3 linked regions of the Macaca mulatta genome follow. The protein of the gene in region 3 interacts with the protein of the main gene of each other region in a pairwise test. Links are inferred from orthologs where the notes say so. Each region holds a gene or a part of one and is shown on either strand. Other genes may lie near its edges.

Region 1 (3,750 bases), on a different chromosome or scaffold from region 3:
CAGGTCGAGGCCGCCGTCCAGGCGGATGGCGTCGCACAGACCCTGGGCTACCTCGCGGCCCACGGCCGGCAGCAGCCAGGCCTCCTCCACCAGTTGGAAGACCTCGGCCAGGCCGGCGCCCACGGCCCGCGCGCCGCCCGCCTGCTTCAGCGCGGACAAGGCCTGCTGCAGCTCCGGCAGCGCGCGCTCCAGGGCGTCCTGCACCTCGGAGCCTGCCCCCGGCGATACTTCGCGGGGCCCGCGGCCGCCCGCAGCCCACCATGGGCCCGTGCCACCGCCCCCATCCGGCCCCGGCACCGCCAGCCGCTCGGCGCCTGGCCGTGGGCCCGACATGGCGAAGAAACGACACAGCTTGTAGGCGGAGAGGAGCAGCGTCAGGACCATGGGCGCGGGGCCGCGGGGGACATCCCCGGCCTGGAGGCGGGGGCCGCGCGGAGAGATCCCGGTTTTGGGAAAAGAGGGACCCGAGAGGGGTCGGGGGAAGAAGATGGAGGGAGAGGAATAGAGAGAAGGGTACCAGGCAAGGGTGCCGGTCAGAAGTTTGAGGGAGGAGTGAGGGCAGGATCGGGGGCGCAGCGGTTGGCAAAGGTGATGCAGGCCAAGATGCAGGGAGTGGGCGAAAGGAGAGAGAGAGGAGGCGAGGGATGGCTCCGGACGCCGGAGGGTAGAGGAGGCGGCGGCTGGAACAAAGCGTTGCCCGGGCAGGGGCTCGGCTGAGCTGGGAGATGCTCGGCAGCAGCCACGCCCTGGAACCGCAGCGGACCCGGGGCCGATGCCCCGCCTCTGGGTCCAGCGGGGCTCCTCCAGCCTCCTGCGCAGCCCCACCCCCAAGTCGTCCCCAGCCACGCCCACGCCCCTGGCCAGCCTTTCCCAGCCCCTCAGTCGCAGCCGCCTCCTCCTGCGCTGGACTTGGAGGAAGGGGGTCGAAAATGAGATGACAGTCTCCGTTCTCCACCTCCTCTTCCCCGCCCCGCGTGACACCAGTACGTGGGAGCAACACCGCTGCGTGCCCCCTCCCTACTAAGTGGTTAAAACAATCATCATAACTCTTAAGGCCCTTTTATGCCTGTTTCTCAGCTAGACCTCACAACATGCCTCTGGGGTGGGAATCGGTGTTCCATTCCACAGCTGACTCCACTGAAGCCCATGAGGAAGAGATTGGCCAAAATCACAGTCCCCTCTGATTACAGAACAGAAAAATCAGCTAAAATCTCAGGATCACTTTTTTTTTCAGGTGATGGCAGGACTTCAGAAGCTCTGTGGACACCTGAAATTGGGCACAAAATCAGGTGTTTCACGCCAGTGGGCATTTTCCAGGTAGAGGGATCGTATTTCTCTTGAGAGTCTAAAAGTGTGAACAAGCCCACTCTTTACAGATGGGAAGACTGAGGCTGGGGACAGGGAGTGACCTGCTCAGAAAAGACTCAGAAATCAAATCTAGTTCAGTGGGTTGATATTTACCCAAATTTCCAGCCTGGGGAGATTGATGCACCCAAGCGAAGAACCCAGAAATGAAACTGTGTTCTTTTATGCTAAAAAAGAAAATTCCCCAGAGTGCTTACAAACTCTCCTCCCACTCCCTTTTTCCTGCCCTAAATAAACAATGGCGAATGAGCACCCAGCCAGGGATGTGTCTGATCAAACAATCATGGATCAATAGCCATGTTTGGAGAAGGAATTTGTGACTGCTCCAGCTACTGGGCATTTTGTCTGTTCCAGTTCATGTAATCTCCCAACACCCCATGAGGCAAGGGGGTTAATCCCATTTTACTGAAACTGAACTAAGACTCAGAGAGATAAAGCTGTTGCCCAATGAGCCTTCTTTCTGGCCTCCAGATCCGCGGTGCTAATTCCCCTTCTGATGACCTAATGATTCTGAGCTTGGCAAAGGTCTTATCTCCCAGCTCTCCCAGGCCCAGTGTTCCAGGAATGTGACCTTTGCTGCAGCAGCCGCTGGAGGGGGCAGAGGGGATGGGCTGGAGGTTGAGCAAACAGAGCAGCAGAAAAGGCAGTTCCTCTTCTTCAGTCCCCTCCCTCCCTGTCTCTGCCTCTCCCTCCCTTCCTCAGGCATCAGGGAGGAGACTTCAGGGAGATCAGAGCCCAGCTTGCCAGGCACTGAGCTAGAAGTCCCGCCATGGCACCCCTGAGACCCCTTCTCATGCTGGCCCTGCTGGCATGGGTTGCTGTGGCTGACCAAGGTACAGGGGGGTGTTGGTGGCCATCTGAGTCAATGTAGGGAGGGCGAGGGTGGCCCGGGCTTGGCGGCACCTACTGACACCCCTTCCTCAAAGAGTCATGCAAGGGCCGCTGCACTGAGGGCTTCAATGCTGACAAGAAGTGCCAGTGTGATGAGCTCTGCTCTTACTACCAGAGCTGCTGCACAGACTATACGGCTGAGTGCAAGCCCCAAGGTGTGTTCAGAGCCCAGGTGGGTGGGCTGGGGTGCCCCTTGCAGCTGGAGACTCACTACCATCCACTCTCCGCAGTGACTCGTGGGGATGTGTTCACTATGCCGGAGGATGAGTATGTGACCTATGACTACGGTGAGGAGAAAAACAATGCCACCATCCATGAACAGCCGGAGGGCTCCTCCCCGAGCCCTGACCTCCAGGCCCAGCCCGAAGGGACTCCTGAGCAGGCAACTGTTCTGAACCCTGAGGAAGAATCCCCTGCACCTGAGGTGGGCATCTCTAAGCCTGAGGGGACGGACTCAAGGCCCGAGACCCTTCGTCCAGGGACCCCTGAGCTCCCAGCAGAGGAGGAGCTATGCAGTGGGAAACCCTTCGACGCCTTCACCGACCTCAAGAACGGTTCCCTCTTTGCCTTCCGAGGTGAATCCAGGGCAGGTATTGGGGATGGGGGTCTGCCCCAGGAGCGTCCCCGCTCTCACACCACCTCCTCCACTGTAGGGCAGTACTGCTATGAACTGGATGAAAAGGCAGTGAGGCCTGGGTACCCCAAGCTCATCCGAGATGTCTGGGGCATCGAGGGCCCCATTGATGCCGCCTTCACCCGCATCAACTGTCAGGGGAAGACCTACCTCTTCAAGGTGCCAGCAGCTGTGGACCAGGGTAGAAAGCATCTAGGGAGGGTTTGAGAGCTATTGCTCCCAGGGACAGGGTGGACAGGGAGGCTGGACCCAGGGCGCTGCAGGACCTGGTGGGCGCTCTGTGAGCACAGGGCAGCCCCAAGACTCCAGGTCCTGGGCAGTGAACCTGAACCTGGGAACGGCTGCCTTAGGGCAAGGGACTCTGCCTCTGTGCCTAGCCAGCAGCCTCCATACCCCTTTTCACTTTCCCCACCTCTTAGGGTAGTCAGTACTGGCGCTTTGAGGATGGTGTCCTGGACCCTGATTACCCCCGAAATATCTCTGATGGCTTCGATGGCATGCCAGACAATGTGGACGCAGCCTTGGCCCTCCCTGCCCATAGCTACAGTGGCAGGGAGCGGGTCTACTTCTTCAAGGGTACTCAGGGGGTGGGTGGGAGACTGAGCAGGCAGTGGAGCAGTCTTGGATTCCTTTCACACTTCACTGGGGACAGGCCTCAGCATGTGCCCACCCCATACCCCCACCTCATGCTGGGAGATCCTAACTTCAACAGCCTCTGGGATCTCCAGTCTGGCTCTGGCCCAGCCCTCCTAATGCCCACCACCCCGCTCCCCAGGGAAACAGTACTGGGAGTACCAGTTCCAGCACCAGCCCAGTCAGGAGGAGTGTGAAGGCAGCTCCCGGTCGGCTGTGTTTGAGCA
Region 2 (3,750 bases), on a different chromosome or scaffold from region 3:
ACCCAGTAAAGACTACAAAGCGACATAGCACCTAACAACGGGAATATGTTCTGAGAAACCCATTGTTGTGTGAACAGCACAGAGTGTATTTACACAAACCTAGATGGTAGAGCCTGCTACGTGCCTAGGCTGTGTGGTCTAGCCTGCTACACCTAGGCTACAAACCCACACAACTTATTAGGTTCTGAATACTATAGGTATTGTAACACAATGATAATTACGTGTGTATTTCAACATAAACTTAGAAAAGGCACGGTAAATATATGGTATTATAATCTTATGTGGCCACCATCACATATGTAATCCACTGTTGACCAAAGCATTGTTATGGATATATGAGGCAACTGAAATTATTAATGCAAATGGATTTGAGAGAAAGGAAGGGTCAAGGTTGACTTCAAAGCCACAGCAAAGTTCTCTGCATCAAGCTTTGAGGAGCTCCTGAATCCCAGAGTGTGTTAGAAGCAGACCTTTTATACTTATCAGAAGCCTTAAACTGTATGTAACCCTGACTCATCATTTCCCCCACTGGGGATTGATTCCACGGAAATCATCAAGGACTCTTCTGCAAAGATGTGAGTACAGAGACGCCCATCTGGGCGCTGGTTTAACAGTGACGTATGGAGAACTACGTCATCATCCAGTAATTGGACATTGATTAAGTAGATTCTGCTCCATCCATAGGAAGAGATATTATGCCGCCTTTAATATGATGTGGTAAAACTATTAATATGGGTATATGCCTAGGATATAATGTCATTAAGCAAAAAAGAACCAGCAACAAAACCATATTGCAATATAATCCAATTTTCAAAAATGTGTGCACAATGGAAAAAAATGTCTGGAAAGATAAATAACCAAATATTAGCAGTGGTTATCTCTGGGGGCAAGATTATAAGTTTTTTTTTTTTTTTTAAATTCTCTTACCTGAAAATTCTAACTTCACTCCAGTAAGCTTGTATTACTACACGTCAAGATCTCCTGTTTCCCCCCAGATCAGACCTACATTCTCTGAAATTCCATGGCCAGAGCTGTAAAAGGCTGTCCAAGAGGAGGAAGGATCATTATTGCCTGGATCTTTATCTGTGCTGCTCTTCCAGGGATCCACTGTTGTTTCAGGATCAGCTGGGGAGAGACTCTGGCCACGTATCACCCCCACCCCAAGCCAGGACATCTCAGCTACAGTAAATCCTAAACACTGTCACAAAGTCATCTCCTTGGTCTGTGAACAAGTCATCACCAAATATCAGTTGTCTCCAGCATCACTCCATTGTTTTCACCCAGGAACTGGCATTTCATAGCACTTCACAGTTTACAGAGGTTCCTGGCCCTTGCTAAGATCTAAGTGTGGTGATCCATCTAGATAGGTTACTTGCCTTTTAGGATATTTTGTTGTTTGCAGAAGGCCATTTCATACTCTAAAACCACCCTGTGAGAGAGGCTGAATGGGGAGGACAAAGTGTGCCGGCTTTATAACCAGATTTGGAACCATTTGTCTTGGACAAATGGCTTAATCTCTCTGAACTTCATTTTCCTCCGTAAAAAAGGGTAATCATCCCACTCCTACAGGGTTGCTCTGGGGAAGGACTAGTCTATAAGGTGCCCGGTAGAATACAGAAGACATGCAAGTCTGGTTAGCATGATTATTGTTGGACCCATTTTCTAGATGGGGAAGCCAAGTCTCAGAAAGTTGAGGCGACTTGCTGAAGGCTTCCCAGCTAAAGAGTGGCTGAGTTTGAAAGATGAACCCAGTAGCCTGCCCTCCCAGGCCAGATTTCACCTGCCACGCGCTTCACGGCTGCTGCCTCTCCGGACTCTGGGGCCCTGTGACCCGTCCCTCCGCGACCCTCTCTGTCTCCTTACCTGCTCCCTCGGAGCCGCCTCCTCTGCCTCCCTTCCCTGCAGCCCTGCACGCAAGTACTTTGTTTTCTGACTTCCCAGGCCCGATTTCCAGGCAGCGTGGGTGGGTCTCATTTGCATAGGTCTTAGCAGCGCTTGGCCAGCTCTCACTGTTTCAGGTTTTCTTCTTCCTTCTGATGACTTTGGACTTCCTGTACACCCGGGAAGCTTTGGCTGCTTTGTCTTTCTCCTGTGAGTGACTCTGGCTTTTTTCTCTGAGGGGGTCAAGCGCAGTCATCCTTGCAGGCCTCTGTTCTGGGTTCGGTTGATCTCCTACCATCCCCTCGGATTCCACTGTCCTTTGTGCGCTGACCCGCCTGGACTCCTGGCTTTTGCCCAGATAGATCCTTCCCTATGCTGAGCCCCTGCAACCAAAATACAAACAGCTCTTGCAAAATACTAACAAACGCTGCCACTAATATAGCAGAAAAATAGTCAGGAGACAGTTGAGCATCTGCCTGAAGAGCCAGGGTTCTCAAGCAAGGCACACTTCTAGGTCAGAGTTCAATCCTCACTGAGAATCCAAACTCCATTTAACTAGCGATGGAGACTTGAGCAAATTAGTTAACATCTGCCAGCCTCAGTTTCCTCACCTGAAAACGGCCATAGTACCCTACCTACTTGATCTGTAGATGAAACGAGGTAATATGTGTCGAGATCGCGTAATAGCACAGTGCCTGGCACACAGTAACTCAGTAAATGTTAACCAGAACTATTATTGTTATACGACCGGTCTGTTCACATGGCCCGTCTTTTGTTCCTGCTCAAATTCTTTTTGCACCTATTATTTTTGTACCTATGGTCCTCTTTTCTCTTCTCTTCTCTTCTCTTCTCTTCTCTCTCTCTCTTTCTTCTTTCTTTTCTTTCTTTTTCTTTCTTTCTTTCTTGATATATTCTTACTCTGTCGCCCAGGCTGGAGTGCAGTGGGGCGATACTGGCTCACTGTAACCCCAATCTCCCTGGTTCCAGCAATTCTCCTCCCTCAGCCTCCCGAGTAGCTGGGACTATGGGTGCGCGCCACCATGCCCGGGTAATTTTTACATTCTTAGTAGAGACGGGGTTTCGCCATGTTGGCCAGGCTGGTCTTGAACTCCTGACCTCAGGTAATCCACCCTCCTCGACCTCCCAAAGAGCTGCGATTACAGGTGTGAGCTACCACGCCTGGCCCCTTATTTCTTTACTGACATTTTCAGCAGTACTTGAGAAATAAGTAAATAAATGTATCTGCTTGGTGATGTAATCAAACGCCCTAGTCCCCTCATGTTGTGTTTTTTTTTTTTAACAATAATTTTTATGTATTTATGTATTTTGAGACAGAGTCTCACTCTGTCGTCCAGGCTGGGGTGCAGGGCGTGATCTCAGCTCACTGCAGCCTCAACCTCCTGGGATCAAGCAATCCTCCCACCTCTGTCTCCTGAGTACCTGGGACTACAGGTGCATGCCGCCGTGGCTGGCTAATTTTTTTTTTTTTTTTTTGAGATGGAGTCTCGCTCTGTCACCCAGGCTGGAGTGTAGTGGCCAGATCTCAGCTCACTGCAAGCTCCGCCTCCCGGGTTTACACCATTCTCCCGCCTCAGCCTCCCGAGTAGCTGGGACTACAGGCGCCCGCCACCTCGCCCGGCTAAGTTTTTGTATTTTTTAGTAGAGACGGGGTTTCACCGTGTCAGCCAGGATGGTCTCGATCTCCTGACCTCGTGATCCGCCCGTCTCAGCCTCCCAAAGTGCTGGGATTACAGGCTTGAGCCACCGCGCCCGGCCGTGGCTGGCTAATTTTTGTATTTCTTGTAGAGATGGGGTTTCTCCATGTTGCCTAGGCTGGTCTCAAACTCCTGGGCTCCAGCAATCCACCTG
Region 3 (3,650 bases):
GAGTTTATCAGATTCATTAGGGATTTAAATCATTAAAACCCCAGTCGGTGGTAGCTTAGTACGTCTCCTACGTTTCATTAATGTAGTATAAATAACTCATTAAAGTAATTGAAAGTAGGTAATCGTCAACATAAAGTTTATTTAGCCCATAAACCAAAGAAGTCTTGATCTTCTAGGAATGCTTTTTTAAAAGTTGCATCAACTTTAAAATGTCATAAGAAAGATTTTTGTTCATATCTCCAAACTGGTTTCTTTTGAAACAGATACTTGCCCTTTTAGGACATAGGTTCTGAAATAAAGATTTTAATAATTCCAAAATTATGTTAAAAGGAGGATTCTAGATTGAGATTTTCAAATCCTTTAAAACTAGTATCTAGAAATTATGTTCTAATCTTTTTTTCCCAGAAATTGAAAGAGTCTCCTAATCTTTCATATGTTTGTCATATATATAACAAATATTTTTAATCAAAGAAGTGACAAATATATCTAGCATTTGGTAGTTGTCGTTAGTTTTAGCTTGTATGTGTGTGTGTGTTTGTGTGTATGTATGTAAATTTTTTCTTTAGGATTATGGTATTTATTGACTAGTATTCAAATATATCTATTTTGATGTTGTTCAAAACAGTAGACCAAAGGAGACACGTTAAATTAGTACCAAAATATATTCCATGAATTGCTGAAAATATGCTTAAATTTGTTTCTTAGCTTCTCAATATCCAGAATAAAAAGGGAAATAATTATGTAAAATAATCAGTGCATACAATAGAAACAATACTATTCATCATTTCCTCAAGAGAAACAATTTCTCTGGTGCTAAGGTAGGTTTTTATTTACATCCTCACAAAAGGGACATGGTGGTATAGGGAATAATGTCTTCCACATATCATGAACAAATGTAACCATGTTTTCATAGGATTTGTGGATTCTGTAAAAGCAGTTCTGCTCAGGATAAATGCAAGTTTTCAGTGTTTAGGTGATTTTTTTGACCTACAAATAACACTTAAAATGTCTGCTGGGGCCCTTATTTAACTCTCAAAAGGGTTTTATTTGGCCATATAGTTTTGTGTGTGTGTTTGAGTTTGAATTTGCCTGCCTATGGGCAGAATTTTTTGTACCTTCTGTTTTGTACTCTATTTTGTCTTGTACCTGCCTGTTTCTGCACTTGGATCCTGAAGGCATTTACATTTGCAACCCTTGATCTGTAGGAAAGATTATACTTTATGCTTTTAAGGTAAATTGAACATTATTTCTCATATATGAACTTCTGATAAAAATTTGATGGTGAAGATCTTGCGGTTAAAGTCTCTGGCTAACACCTTTATGTTCACATATATGGACTATCTACCAAGAGGAACGTAGGAGGCAAGTGAGGCCAGTGTTTTCCTCAGAAAAACGTTCTGCATTCACTCTTAACATGCAGACAAATAGATGAACCGGATAACAAAGTTCAGTGGTAATCCACTCCATAGATGTGATTAATCTATAGAAACTTTGTAATGTGTAAATGTTTTAATGCAGTTGTTACTAGCAGTTTTTCATGACTATAAAATGTTTATTAGAAAACTAGTATATCCTCTAGTTTATTCCTTATAAGTTTCTTGTGGTCCTCTAAGATAAATTAGCTATAAAATGTATCTGTGTAACTGAATGATTCTGACTTTAAGACAGACATGCATAACTTTGCATGCAATTTCTGACAAGTCGACTTTATAGACTTGTTGCATTAAAGTTAATTAAATGTTTGGGAACAACCATCAGAATGATTATTTTTATATTAGTCTAGTTTTCTAAGTCAGTTTTAGAAGTAGATAGCAGATTTAACTACCCATTGAAGTCACTTTTACTAATATGTGATAACATGAGCTTAGAGTAGACTACTTTTCTTACTATCCTCCATATCAGGGTAACCCATGGCATGCAATTATTTTATCTAGAAGTAGTTCCAGGATGTTATGGTACTAGTTCAAAAGAACTAGATCCAGATCTTTGTGTTCCATTTTATAGAGATGATACATTGTTGAACTGTAGGCTTTTGTGCATTTTCAAGAACATGGTCTAGTGCTAAAGAGTTTTTATTTTCATTAAATTATATACTTTTAAAAATTACATAGGAAAGAGAGCTTGAGGCAAACAAAAAAGAAAAAATGAAAGAAGCGCAACTTGAAGCTGAAGTGAAATTGTTGAGAAAAGAGAATGAAGCCCTTCGTAGACATATAGCTGTTCTCCAGGCTGAAGTATATGGGGCGAGACTAGCTGCCAAGTACTTGGATAAGGAACTGGCAGGAAGGTGTGTAAAAAATGGGTATTATTGTACTCTTAAGTGACAAATTGGATATTTAATGAGGTTGACTCTTTTTCTTTTTTTATTTTTTTGAGATGGAGTCTTGCTCTGTTGCCCAGACTGGAGTGCAGTGGCATGATCTCGGCTCACTGCAACCTCTGCCTCCTAGGTTCAAGTGATTCTCCTGCCTCAGCCTCCCGAGCAGCTGGGATTACAGGTGCCTGCCACCACAGCCAGCTAATTTTTGTATTTTTAGTAGAGATGGGGTTTCACCATGTTGGCCAGGCTAGTCTCAAACTCCTGACCTCATGATCCGTCTGTCTTGGCCTCCCAAAGTGCTGGGATCACAGGCGTGAGCCACTGCACCTGGCTGACTCTTTTTTCTTACAGTAAATGCAGCATTAATCTTTTCCCTCAGAATCGTTTTACAGTTGGTTTTAACTTACTGTTGTTAAATTAATACTGACAGCATTATGTATTGCAGATCTATTTATCCATACTAAATATGTTTAGTTTACACACATAAACACTGATAGTATCTTACTGTGAAATGCTAACAGCTCTATAGAGCAGCACTTTCCAACTATTTTGTGCCTTGAGACCAGTACAACTGATATTCACGTGCATAGCAGAACTTCCATAAGGAATTCTTTTTATGATCACTGAAACCCAGCCTTTCTTGCCCTTCAAAAAGACATGTTGGTATTTAGTTAATGACAGTGATTTTATCATAATCATACACAGAATTCTACTTGTATTTATTAAGTAAATTATTAACTCTGGTGACTTATTAGTACTGAATCATTTTGTGCATATTCTTTTAATGTCACATTAAAAACATGAAAGAAAAAATAATCTATATCATCTTGAAGTACACATTTTCTAGTAACTTTTTTTTTTTTTTTAATTTTGTGAGATGGGGTCTCACTCTGTCACTCAGGTTGGAGTGCAGTGGTGCAACGCTGGCTCACTGCATCGTCTACCTTTCAGGCTCAAGTGATCTTCCCACCTCAGCTTCCCAAGTAGCTGGGACCACAGGCATGCCACCAGGCCTGGTTAATTGTTTTTAAGGTTTTGCCATGTTGCCCTGGCTGGTTCTAGTAACTTTTAACCACATTTAAAATAATCATTTTGTGAAAAGAAACTCTAATTAGAAGAAATATTTTTGTACAGTTAATCTCATCTAAAAGCTAACATTTAATGGTATCTGAGTTCAGTGACTTTGCCTGCAAGACGTAAAACAGATTGACATTAATCTCATCAATTGTTTTTTAGATTTATTTGAATTAAGTATATGACTAAAAGAGTTCACATTAATTCCTTTAAAAAAAATTTTTTTACTGGTTTTTCCCTTCAAGATACCTGTTCT

Evidence for each region. The genes of interacting proteins can lie anywhere in the genome.
Region 1: the proteins of GOPC (region 3) and VTN interact in binary tests that used the Homo sapiens proteins (3 or more experiments, as listed by UniProt). The two-hybrid records come from large-scale screens. The link is inferred for Macaca mulatta from reciprocal best matches to the Homo sapiens genes GOPC and VTN.
Region 2: the proteins of GOPC (region 3) and RNF183 interact in binary tests that used the Homo sapiens proteins (3 or more experiments, as listed by UniProt). The two-hybrid records come from large-scale screens. The link is inferred for Macaca mulatta from reciprocal best matches to the Homo sapiens genes GOPC and RNF183.

Annotation. Positions count from the first base shown.
Region 1 is NC_133421.1:37,064,610-37,068,359, reverse strand, and holds the start of VTN (vitronectin), read left to right. Parts: upstream 1-1,232; 5' UTR 1,233-2,134; coding exon 2,135-2,198; intron 2,199-2,291; coding exon 2,292-2,411; intron 2,412-2,486; coding exon 2,487-2,831; intron 2,832-2,909; coding exon 2,910-3,049; intron 3,050-3,309; coding exon 3,310-3,466; intron 3,467-3,665; coding exon 3,666-3,750. Other genes in the region: NAD(+) hydrolase SARM1 precursor, read right to left, coding at 1-384. UniProt on the Homo sapiens protein: Vitronectin is a cell adhesion and spreading factor found in serum and tissues. Vitronectin interact with glycosaminoglycans and proteoglycans. Is recognized by certain members of the integrin family and serves as a cell-to-substrate adhesion molecule.
Region 2 is NC_133420.1:45,009,170-45,012,919, reverse strand, and holds the start of RNF183 (E3 ubiquitin-protein ligase RNF183), read right to left. Parts: upstream 2,205-3,750; 5' UTR 1,864-2,204; intron 1-1,863. UniProt on the Homo sapiens protein: Acts as an E3 ubiquitin ligase catalyzing the covalent attachment of ubiquitin moieties onto substrate proteins. Triggers apoptosis in response to prolonged ER stress by mediating the polyubiquitination and subsequent proteasomal degradation of BCL2L1.
Region 3 is NC_133409.1:22,564,639-22,568,288, reverse strand, and holds part of GOPC (Golgi-associated PDZ and coiled-coil motif-containing protein), read left to right. Parts: intron 1-2,111; coding exon 2,112-2,287; intron 2,288-3,650.